Schizosaccharomyces pombe: one gene and its partner. The protein of the gene in region 1 binds, or shares a complex with, the protein of each later gene. Each region holds a gene or a part of one and is shown in the gene's direction. Other genes may lie near its edges. The genes, in order: qcr8 and qcr1.

Region 1 (3,410 bases):
GGTCTAAAGTCAACGAAGGCATGATAAAAATGTATAGAGCAGAAGTTTTGGGTAAACTTCCTATAATGCAGCACTATCTTTTTGGCCATTTAATCCCAGCTTCACCTGGGATGTCTCCTGCTCCCCAAGACGGTGATGATTCTGAGGTGACACATGTTCATTCTCATTATGCTGACTGTTGTGGCATCAAGATACCAAGTGCGATCTCTGCTGCCAAAAATAATGGAAGTAGGATTCCGTTTGATTAAAAATTCTCGAGGGAAAAAAGGCGTTTTTAACGAATCTTCACGAATTTATGCGATACCCATATTTGTCTGTTTACTTTAAAAGTAATATCTAAAGTCAATAAAATTACCAACAGTACAGCATATTTGTTTATTTCATTATGCTAAAAAAACTCTACATAAACAATCAACCCTAATTTTAGCAGCATTAATATAGCCATTTCATCAGCACAAAACCCAAAATAATTGTCGTTTTAAAAATAAGGTGACAAATCATAATTTTGAGTTCTGAAATAAAAAAATTTGGAAATATTTATTTTCGTTAAGAACCCAAATTTGTCAAAATCATAATGCGTGGAAAAGTACAACTTTTATATAACATCTCTTTAATTTTAAAGGGATAATAAGATAAAGCTGATATGTTTAGGGGAGCTCGAATAAACCTTATGAATTTGCTGCTAGAAGCAGATACATGGAATGAATTAAGGATTTACATTAAGAAGCAACCCAGAACCACTGGAACTTTGGGCATTAGAACCAGCTCCAAAGGGAAGATAAGTGACCTGTGCACCTTTATTAGCAAGTGCAGTAGCCACCTCTTTACTTGTCTCGAGACGACGAATTTGGATTAAAGCGCCACCGGCTTTATCAAGTGCTTTGGAAACAATATCAGCCGCTTCTGCTTCACCCTCAGCGCGAATAACATTAGCTTGTCGCTCTTGTTCGGATTGTTCTACTAAAAATCTAGCACGCTCGGCTTCTTGTTGAGCAATTTGTTTTCTCTCTACGGCTTTCGTAAATTCTTTTCCAAAAGTCATATGAGTAATGGATACATCTTCCAACCGAATTCCAAATTCGGTAGCTCGTTGAACTAGTTCTTGGCGAATTTTGGCAGAAACTACTTCTCTTTGAGTAATGAGCTCTGCTGCATCAAACTGAGCAACTACGGATTTTAAAATTTCGTTTCCAATAGAAGGTAAGACACGCTCATCATAATCTAAGCCTAAATTTTGGTAAATTTGAGGAAGCATTCCAACTTCGGGACGGTGTAATACACGCAATGTTAAAGAAACCATCTGTAAATCTTTACTACCCGTAGTAGTTGCGATATTTCGTGGACGTGTGCGTACATCATAAACAATTGCCTTTTGTAACCATGGAATCAAAAAGTGTGTGCCCTCCTGAACAACCTGTTTCTGCACACCCGACAGACGGTCAAACAAAACTGCTCTTTTTCCCCCCGGTACATCGTAAATCGAAGATTGTAATAGAGTAAATCCAATACCTATTGGTATTGCATAACGTGCAACTCTCTCCAGTACTACAGCCATCTCTTTAATAGTACGTTGAGCGCTGGACTAAAAGACCAAACTGAAAGGGAAGTCCGTTTGAGCAAGACTAAGTATGACTTAACTGCAACCTCTAGGAAAATCTATATTCATGATTAATAAATACATGATCTTATTATTTAGAATTTTAATAGTAAAACTAAATAAAAATCTTGAATAAAAAACCAAGAATTTGTAAACGTCTGAATTATTATTGGTCTAGCAGACCCGCACACTTACCCTTAACAAACATCTGACTTTGTAACGGCAATCATCAATATATTATTGTTTTAACAAAATGGGTGGTGCTGCTGGAGGAAAAACTTATTTGTAAGTGCAACTTAAAGCAGTTTCTGTTTATAATGGGTTATATGACTTTTCTTTGACGCTTATAGCGTGAGACGGTGGACACAATTGGTGTTTATTTCGTAAAGCCATTTTCGTCAGCGAAGTTATATACATTCAAATAGCTGCTGAGAATATCATTGAACGTTTTTATTTATACTAACACATGAATAGAGGATGGTGGGGCCATCTGTAAGTGCTATAACAATTTGATACATTTTTACTTACTTTAATAAGAGGTGGACCTAAACAAAAAGGAATCATAACATATTCCCTTTCCCCATTTCAACAGAGACCAATGGCCGGCTTCTTCAAAACTTCTACGCAAAATATGTTTCGTCGCGTCATGACTGAAGGTCTATACGTAGCAATTCCGTTTGGAATAGCTTACTATATTTACTGTTGGGGGAAGGAGCGTAATGAATTCCTCAATTCCAAACATGGAAGACACGTAAGTTAATGACTGAAGAATCGATAAGCAGCTATGGTTTGCAGCATTTTTCTATACTTCTAAATTGTGTCAATAATTGTCATTTTACTAATATGTGGTTTAGTTGGTGGAGGAATAATGATGAGAATGAAGTATTCATTTTGGTAGAAGGATTTACAAAATTCTTCCCTACCCTTTCCTTATTGGGTTTACAATTACTATCTCTCTCCTCTCATTATGCTTAGTATCAGAAATCTATATATCCAACAAAATTACTTTGTGATATGATCTATCTCTTGAATTTGAAAACATTATTACTCTTAGTTTTGACTTTCATTTGATTTTGTCTTATAAAAGACAAGTTGTAATGCTGAAACAGCGTCTTCTTCGCTATCGTGTGTAGAAGTTTGTATTGTTGTTCCCAGATATTTTTTAGTCAAATATTTTAAGGAATATCTAAACGGCGGGCCTCTGGCATGCGTAAATAGAAGAGCAGTATCTATGACACGTTTGTGAATAAGCCTCATCGCATTCAAATCGTTTTCTAAACCATGTCCTATTAAAATTGTATTTTTATTCATGCCAAGTTCCTTTATTTTAATATACATTTGATCCATGGTAATTCCTGATTCTAATTCTTTGGCATCATGTATCCCGCTAAATCGAGTATTGAGACTCAAAATTTTGCCTTTAGGCTTTATAAACACATCCATAATAATGCTTTCCTTTGCTACCACCGTCAAACGAGCCAATTCCATCCCGTTCGTAGTGTAGCATAGTTCACAATCTAACGCGCAATGACTTAATTGCTTGCTATTTGTACTGTCTGGTAAGTAGGAAAATGGATGAACGCTAGCAAGATACGGAAGATGTCGGTATTTGAACACATGGTTGTCTTCTATAATACAACCAGACGAATCGCCCTCTTTTACACCACAGCAAGTGTATGTACGAATCTTCTCCCCCCCTTGCTTTTCACGAAACAGTTTTCCCCAATGATATGTACATGGTCCTCGAGGATCCGCAAACCGTGTACCACATCGATCGCATTCACGAAGTTCATCTGGCGGGTTTACTGGTGCA
Region 2 (4,530 bases), on another chromosome or scaffold:
CAAGCCAGAAATCAAGAAAAGAGCAAAGATCAACTGCAGAATATCAATTGGCAGTTTTGGGGTTTGAACTGGTAAGTTTCAAGCCCAAAACTTACTAGATGACGGATTAAGGAGAATAAAAAAGAAAAAGGAAAGGAATAATCATTATGAAAAAATAAGTGGGGTTATATGGGTTTGCATGGAAAGAAGCTTAAGATTTCCAAAGCTTTTTAATACCCTCCGTAAGGCCAATATCATTCGTGTTGAACTCATAGACGCCAATAAGTGTAAGAACAGTACATCCACGTAAGATCCAGTGCATCAAAGGAGATAACTTCTTAAATCTTCTTGCAGGGAAGTAGTCAATCACACAAGATTCAAACCCCAAGTGGGCATGCGTAATCAAGGTGCAAGCCAATGCAGCGTCCATTAAGGGATGAGAAGTTCCGGTGAACAAAGGGATCATGACTTGAGGAACCATGGCAATAGCAATAATTCTTTCAAAGTCCCAATGATAGCTTCCGTGGAGCTTACTGTGGTGAGGGAAAACAGCAGCATCATTAACAGTTCCCTTAATGGTCTGAGGGGGAGGAGGGAAAATTTTCGCAACACTGGTTGTGCTAAAAGATTTAACTGCAAAAAGAAGACGTCCTTGACGAAGTGCTCCAAGTCCTAAACGTGTTTGTAACATATTGTTTGTAAACCAAGAAAAGCTGGTGGTGGTAGTAGGTGAGTTCGTATTGGCGGATCTTGTGTCCACATTATTGGCCATTCAACAGCTCGATGTGTTGAGCTTGGAGTGGCCGGAAATAGGCGATGAGAACCTAAATCTATCTACTCATAAACGAAAAATTGTATAACATAGAGTAAAGACTAGAAATTTAAATAGATATAATAGATTAATAAGTTTATTCAGAAGAATCTCCGGTCTTTAAGGTCGTTTCAAAACCTGGTTATTACTTTTTATAATAATATTATTCACTGCTGAAAACGAATTACCTTCTACATATAATATTACATGGGTTTTGTGGTGAGTTTGAATATCTATTATAATATTACACAGTACCAAAAGTTACTGCAGTTTCAAAAAAAATTTTACGGAAAGCACTACATTGTGAAAAAACAATAATCTACTGTAAATCTTTTTACTTAATAATATAATATAGATAAAGCTATAGAAATTTACTTGTAGCAATTATGCTAATATAAAGGTGCTGCATTGGCTTAAAAAAAGGTTAGAGAAACGGTTTTAAGAGGATGAAAATTTTATTTAAATTAATATCATTTATATAAAAAACTATTCTCATAAAAAGAAACCATCAAGCTACTCAATAGTCGATGTATAACAATGCTTGATTCGGTGCTAGTCAAAATTCTATAGTTGGACTGTTATTTTTTTAAAAATGTATTAACCGAAATATTGTAATGGAAATCATGGAAAAGAGAATTTCGTTAAGTATAAATAACCTTTTAATGTAGATGAATACGAACTTAACCTGATGAAGTGTCTTACCCTGTCTGATTCAATGTCATATAGATTCTTTTCAATATACCGATGAAACAATATATCCCCTACATAGTTTTTTACCAATGAGATTCTCCATGTTAAGTAGAGATATATTATATCATGAACTGGATTGTACGGTCATTCGTTTCCTTCCTTTATAGCAAATTGCGCACAGGGCAAAGACTAGGCAATCCGAAAGTTTCTGTTTGAATGGTCAACTTCTTATTTTTCTCTACATGGAAATTCTAGTAAGGGATTCAAGGATTGCTAGTTTTCTTTTTTTATTAAATGGGATCAATTGGTCATTTGCCGAAATTCGAACTTGGGACCTCGATAACACGTATTACGCTACACCTCTACGGAATACCTTCTTGCTACCTACTTACCCTTTACCATCCACAGAATCCCACCCAACCAAAGGAGCTTGAATTGATATTACTATGCTGAGGCTTCAGAATTTGCCAAAGCTAGTACGTCGTTTTGCGACTACTGCTTTACCAAAAACAGAAACCACTACTTTAAAAAATGGGCTTACAGTTGCTACGGAACATCATCCGTATGCCCAAACAGCGACCGTCCTTGTGGGCGTTGATGCTGGCTCAAGAGCTGAGACGGCAAAAAATAATGGCGCTGCTCACTTTTTGGAACATTTGGCGTTCAAAGGAACGAAAAATCGCTCCCAAAAAGCATTGGAATTGGAATTTGAAAATACTGGTGCACATTTGAACGCATACACCTCTCGTGAACAAACCGTTTATTATGCACATGCGTTCAAAAACGCTGTACCTAATGCAGTTGCCGTTTTGGCCGATATCCTGACAAATTCAAGCATTTCTGCCTCGGCGGTTGAGCGTGAACGCCAAGTCATCTTAAGAGAGCAAGAAGAGGTTGACAAAATGGCCGATGAAGTAGTCTTTGATCATTTACATGCTACCGCTTATCAGGGTCATCCTCTTGGACGTACAATTTTGGGTCCTAAGGAAAACATCGAATCTCTTACCCGTGAGGACCTTCTCCAGTATATTAAGGACAACTACCGTAGTGATAGAATGATTATCTCTTCTGCCGGTTCGATATCTCATGAGGAGCTTGTAAAGCTCGCCGAAAAATATTTTGGCCATTTGGAGCCTTCAGCTGAGCAATTGTCGCTTGGTGCTCCTCGTGGACTCAAACCTCGTTTCGTCGGGTCTGAAATCCGTGCTCGTGACGATGATTCACCAACTGCCAACATTGCCATTGCTGTTGAAGGTATGAGTTGGAAACACCCAGATTACTTTACTGCATTAGTCATGCAAGCCATCATTGGTAACTGGGACCGTGCTATGGGAGCATCTCCCCATTTGTCTTCTCGTCTTAGTACTATTGTTCAACAACATCAACTTGCCAATAGCTTCATGAGTTTCAGTACTAGTTATAGTGATACTGGACTTTGGGGTATTTATCTTGTCACTGAGAACCTTGGCCGTATTGATGATCTCGTCCACTTTACCCTCCAAAACTGGGCTCGTTTAACCGTTGCAACTCGTGCTGAGGTTGAACGTGCCAAGGCACAACTCCGTGCTTCGCTTTTACTTTCTTTGGATTCAACGACCGCCATTGCAGAGGACATTGGTCGCCAATTGCTTACAACTGGTCGTCGTATGAGCCCTCAAGAGGTTGATCTCCGTATCGGTCAAATCACTGAAAAAGATGTAGCCCGCGTTGCTTCCGAGATGATTTGGGACAAGGACATTGCTGTTTCTGCTGTTGGTTCCATTGAGGGTTTGTTGGACTACAACCGTATTCGTAGCAGTATTTCTATGAACCGTTGGTAAACGCATTTTCTTGGGACTTTTGACTATTGTCTATTATTTAATCTTAAGGCTCATCCTTTGCTATTGTTTGTTAACGCCTTTATGATTTCGTCTGCCTCTTCGCTCTCTTCAGATATATGAGCTGAATTCACCAATATACGTTGTTTACGTGTTGATCAGTACTATCACCGGTTGGATATGAAGCTGTTTGCACACAAGTAATATCATTTCAGTAGATGAGAGCATACCAGAGTTGTTTATAGTGCAAAGTCGGTTGCTTACTGCATCACCTTTGAAAACCCCCTTTCTTCAGAGTTAAACTTTTCTCTCATTTATTATCTGTCAAGGTGTATTGCTCGGACACTTCTTATACTGCCTTTGCATTCATTTTTGCTTGCAATTTATCCTCCCGTGATATTCCTTGTCATCTTATTTTTCTATCTCCCTTCTCATTTAGCAGTCTCTTGAAAATCTCTTTTACTTTCTTGCTTTCTTTCTAGCAACTATTCACTTTATCGCTGATTTAGCGGAAACCGCTTACTAACCTACCCATGTTTACAAATGAAACGGATTCGTTCGTGTTGTAAAATTTATCGACATAACTTTGAATGTTACAGAGTTAATCTGAATTCATTCTTCCTTTTTTGTACCTTTTTTCTTGGGCGCTTGCTCGTAATTAGCAACTTGCGTTAAAATTCATGTAGTAGTAAGTCGACTTGATAATGTAGTTATGTAGTTTTATTTTATAAAAATAGATTTTTGCGAATAATCGTCGAGCATTCCGTTCAATTCATTCAATCACTGCGAGGGTTTATCGGGTTAATCTTCTGTAAGGAATATCGGCTTTTATGGAGTTAAAAATTGGTATGAACATTTTCCATTTGCATAAGCGAAAAAAACACGAATGTTTGTTTATTGAAATCGTTCGCACGATAGTGGAAACCAAAACATATATGGCAAAAAGCCTACAGCACCCCGGATTCCCATGTTGTCTCCAACCATAGTACTAACGAGGCCCTCAGACGCTTAACTGCAGTGATCGGACGGGAACTGGTGTTTTCGCCTAGGTATGGCCGTAGACGTTTGTCAAAAAATTTAACAAGATATATAGTGTAAGAAAAGATAAGAGGTATTTTAAATTTTGTTAAAAGCTTCAACATGATTTTTGAAAGAATTTTCAATGAGCACAATAATAAAATAACTGGTAGTACTCGTTTAACTGTGTATATACAAAATATATTTACACAAAAA

The links.
Region 2: the proteins of qcr8 (region 1) and qcr1 are in contact, whole or in part, in a cryo-EM structure (PDB 8Q1B), measured with the Schizosaccharomyces pombe proteins. Residues at the interface, in NP_594714.1 of Schizosaccharomyces pombe: Trp13 (codon at 2,076), Trp14 (codon at 2,079), Gly15 (codon at 2,082), His16 (codon at 2,085), Leu17 (codon at 2,088), Pro20 (codon at 2,142), Lys21 (codon at 2,145), Gln22 (codon at 2,148), Lys23 (codon at 2,151), Gly24 (codon at 2,154), Ile25 (codon at 2,157), Ile26 (codon at 2,160), Thr27 (codon at 2,163), Tyr28 (codon at 2,166), Ser29 (codon at 2,169), Leu30 (codon at 2,172), Ser31 (codon at 2,175), Pro32 (codon at 2,178), Phe33 (codon at 2,181), Gln34 (codon at 2,184); in NP_595827.1 of Schizosaccharomyces pombe: Gln168 (codon at 2,428), Arg246 (codon at 2,662), Phe247 (codon at 2,665), Val248 (codon at 2,668), Gly249 (codon at 2,671), Ser250 (codon at 2,674), Glu251 (codon at 2,677), Ile252 (codon at 2,680), Arg253 (codon at 2,683), Ala254 (codon at 2,686), Arg255 (codon at 2,689), Asp256 (codon at 2,692), Asp257 (codon at 2,695), Asp258 (codon at 2,698), Gly341 (codon at 2,947), Asp430 (codon at 3,214), Glu440 (codon at 3,244), Gly441 (codon at 3,247), Leu443 (codon at 3,253), Tyr445 (codon at 3,259), Asn446 (codon at 3,262), Arg449 (codon at 3,271).

What each region holds. Positions count from the first base shown.
Region 1 is NC_003424.3:4,765,260-4,768,669, forward strand, and holds qcr8 (ubiquinol-cytochrome-c reductase complex subunit 7), read left to right. Parts: upstream 1-1,796; 5' UTR 1,797-1,850; coding exon 1,851-1,882; intron 1,883-2,071; coding exon 2,072-2,089; intron 2,090-2,134; coding exon 2,135-2,348; intron 2,349-2,451; coding exon 2,452-2,466; 3' UTR 2,467-2,647; downstream 2,648-3,410. Other genes in the region: ypa2 (serine/threonine-protein phosphatase 2A activator 2), read left to right, coding at 1-248; prohibitin Phb1, read right to left, coding at 707-1,555; exonuclease Rex3, read right to left, coding at 2,648-3,410.
Region 2 is NC_003423.3:2,032,240-2,036,769, reverse strand, and holds qcr1 (MPP complex beta subunit Qcr1), read left to right. Parts: upstream 1-1,870; 5' UTR 1,871-1,926; coding exon 1,927-3,300; 3' UTR 3,301-3,928; downstream 3,929-4,530. Other genes in the region: TIM22 inner membrane protein import complex and succinate dehydrogenase (SDH) anchor subunit Tim18, read right to left, coding at 191-670. UniProt on the Schizosaccharomyces pombe protein: Catalytic subunit of the essential mitochondrial processing protease (MPP), which cleaves the mitochondrial sequence off newly imported precursors proteins. Preferentially, cleaves after an arginine at position P2.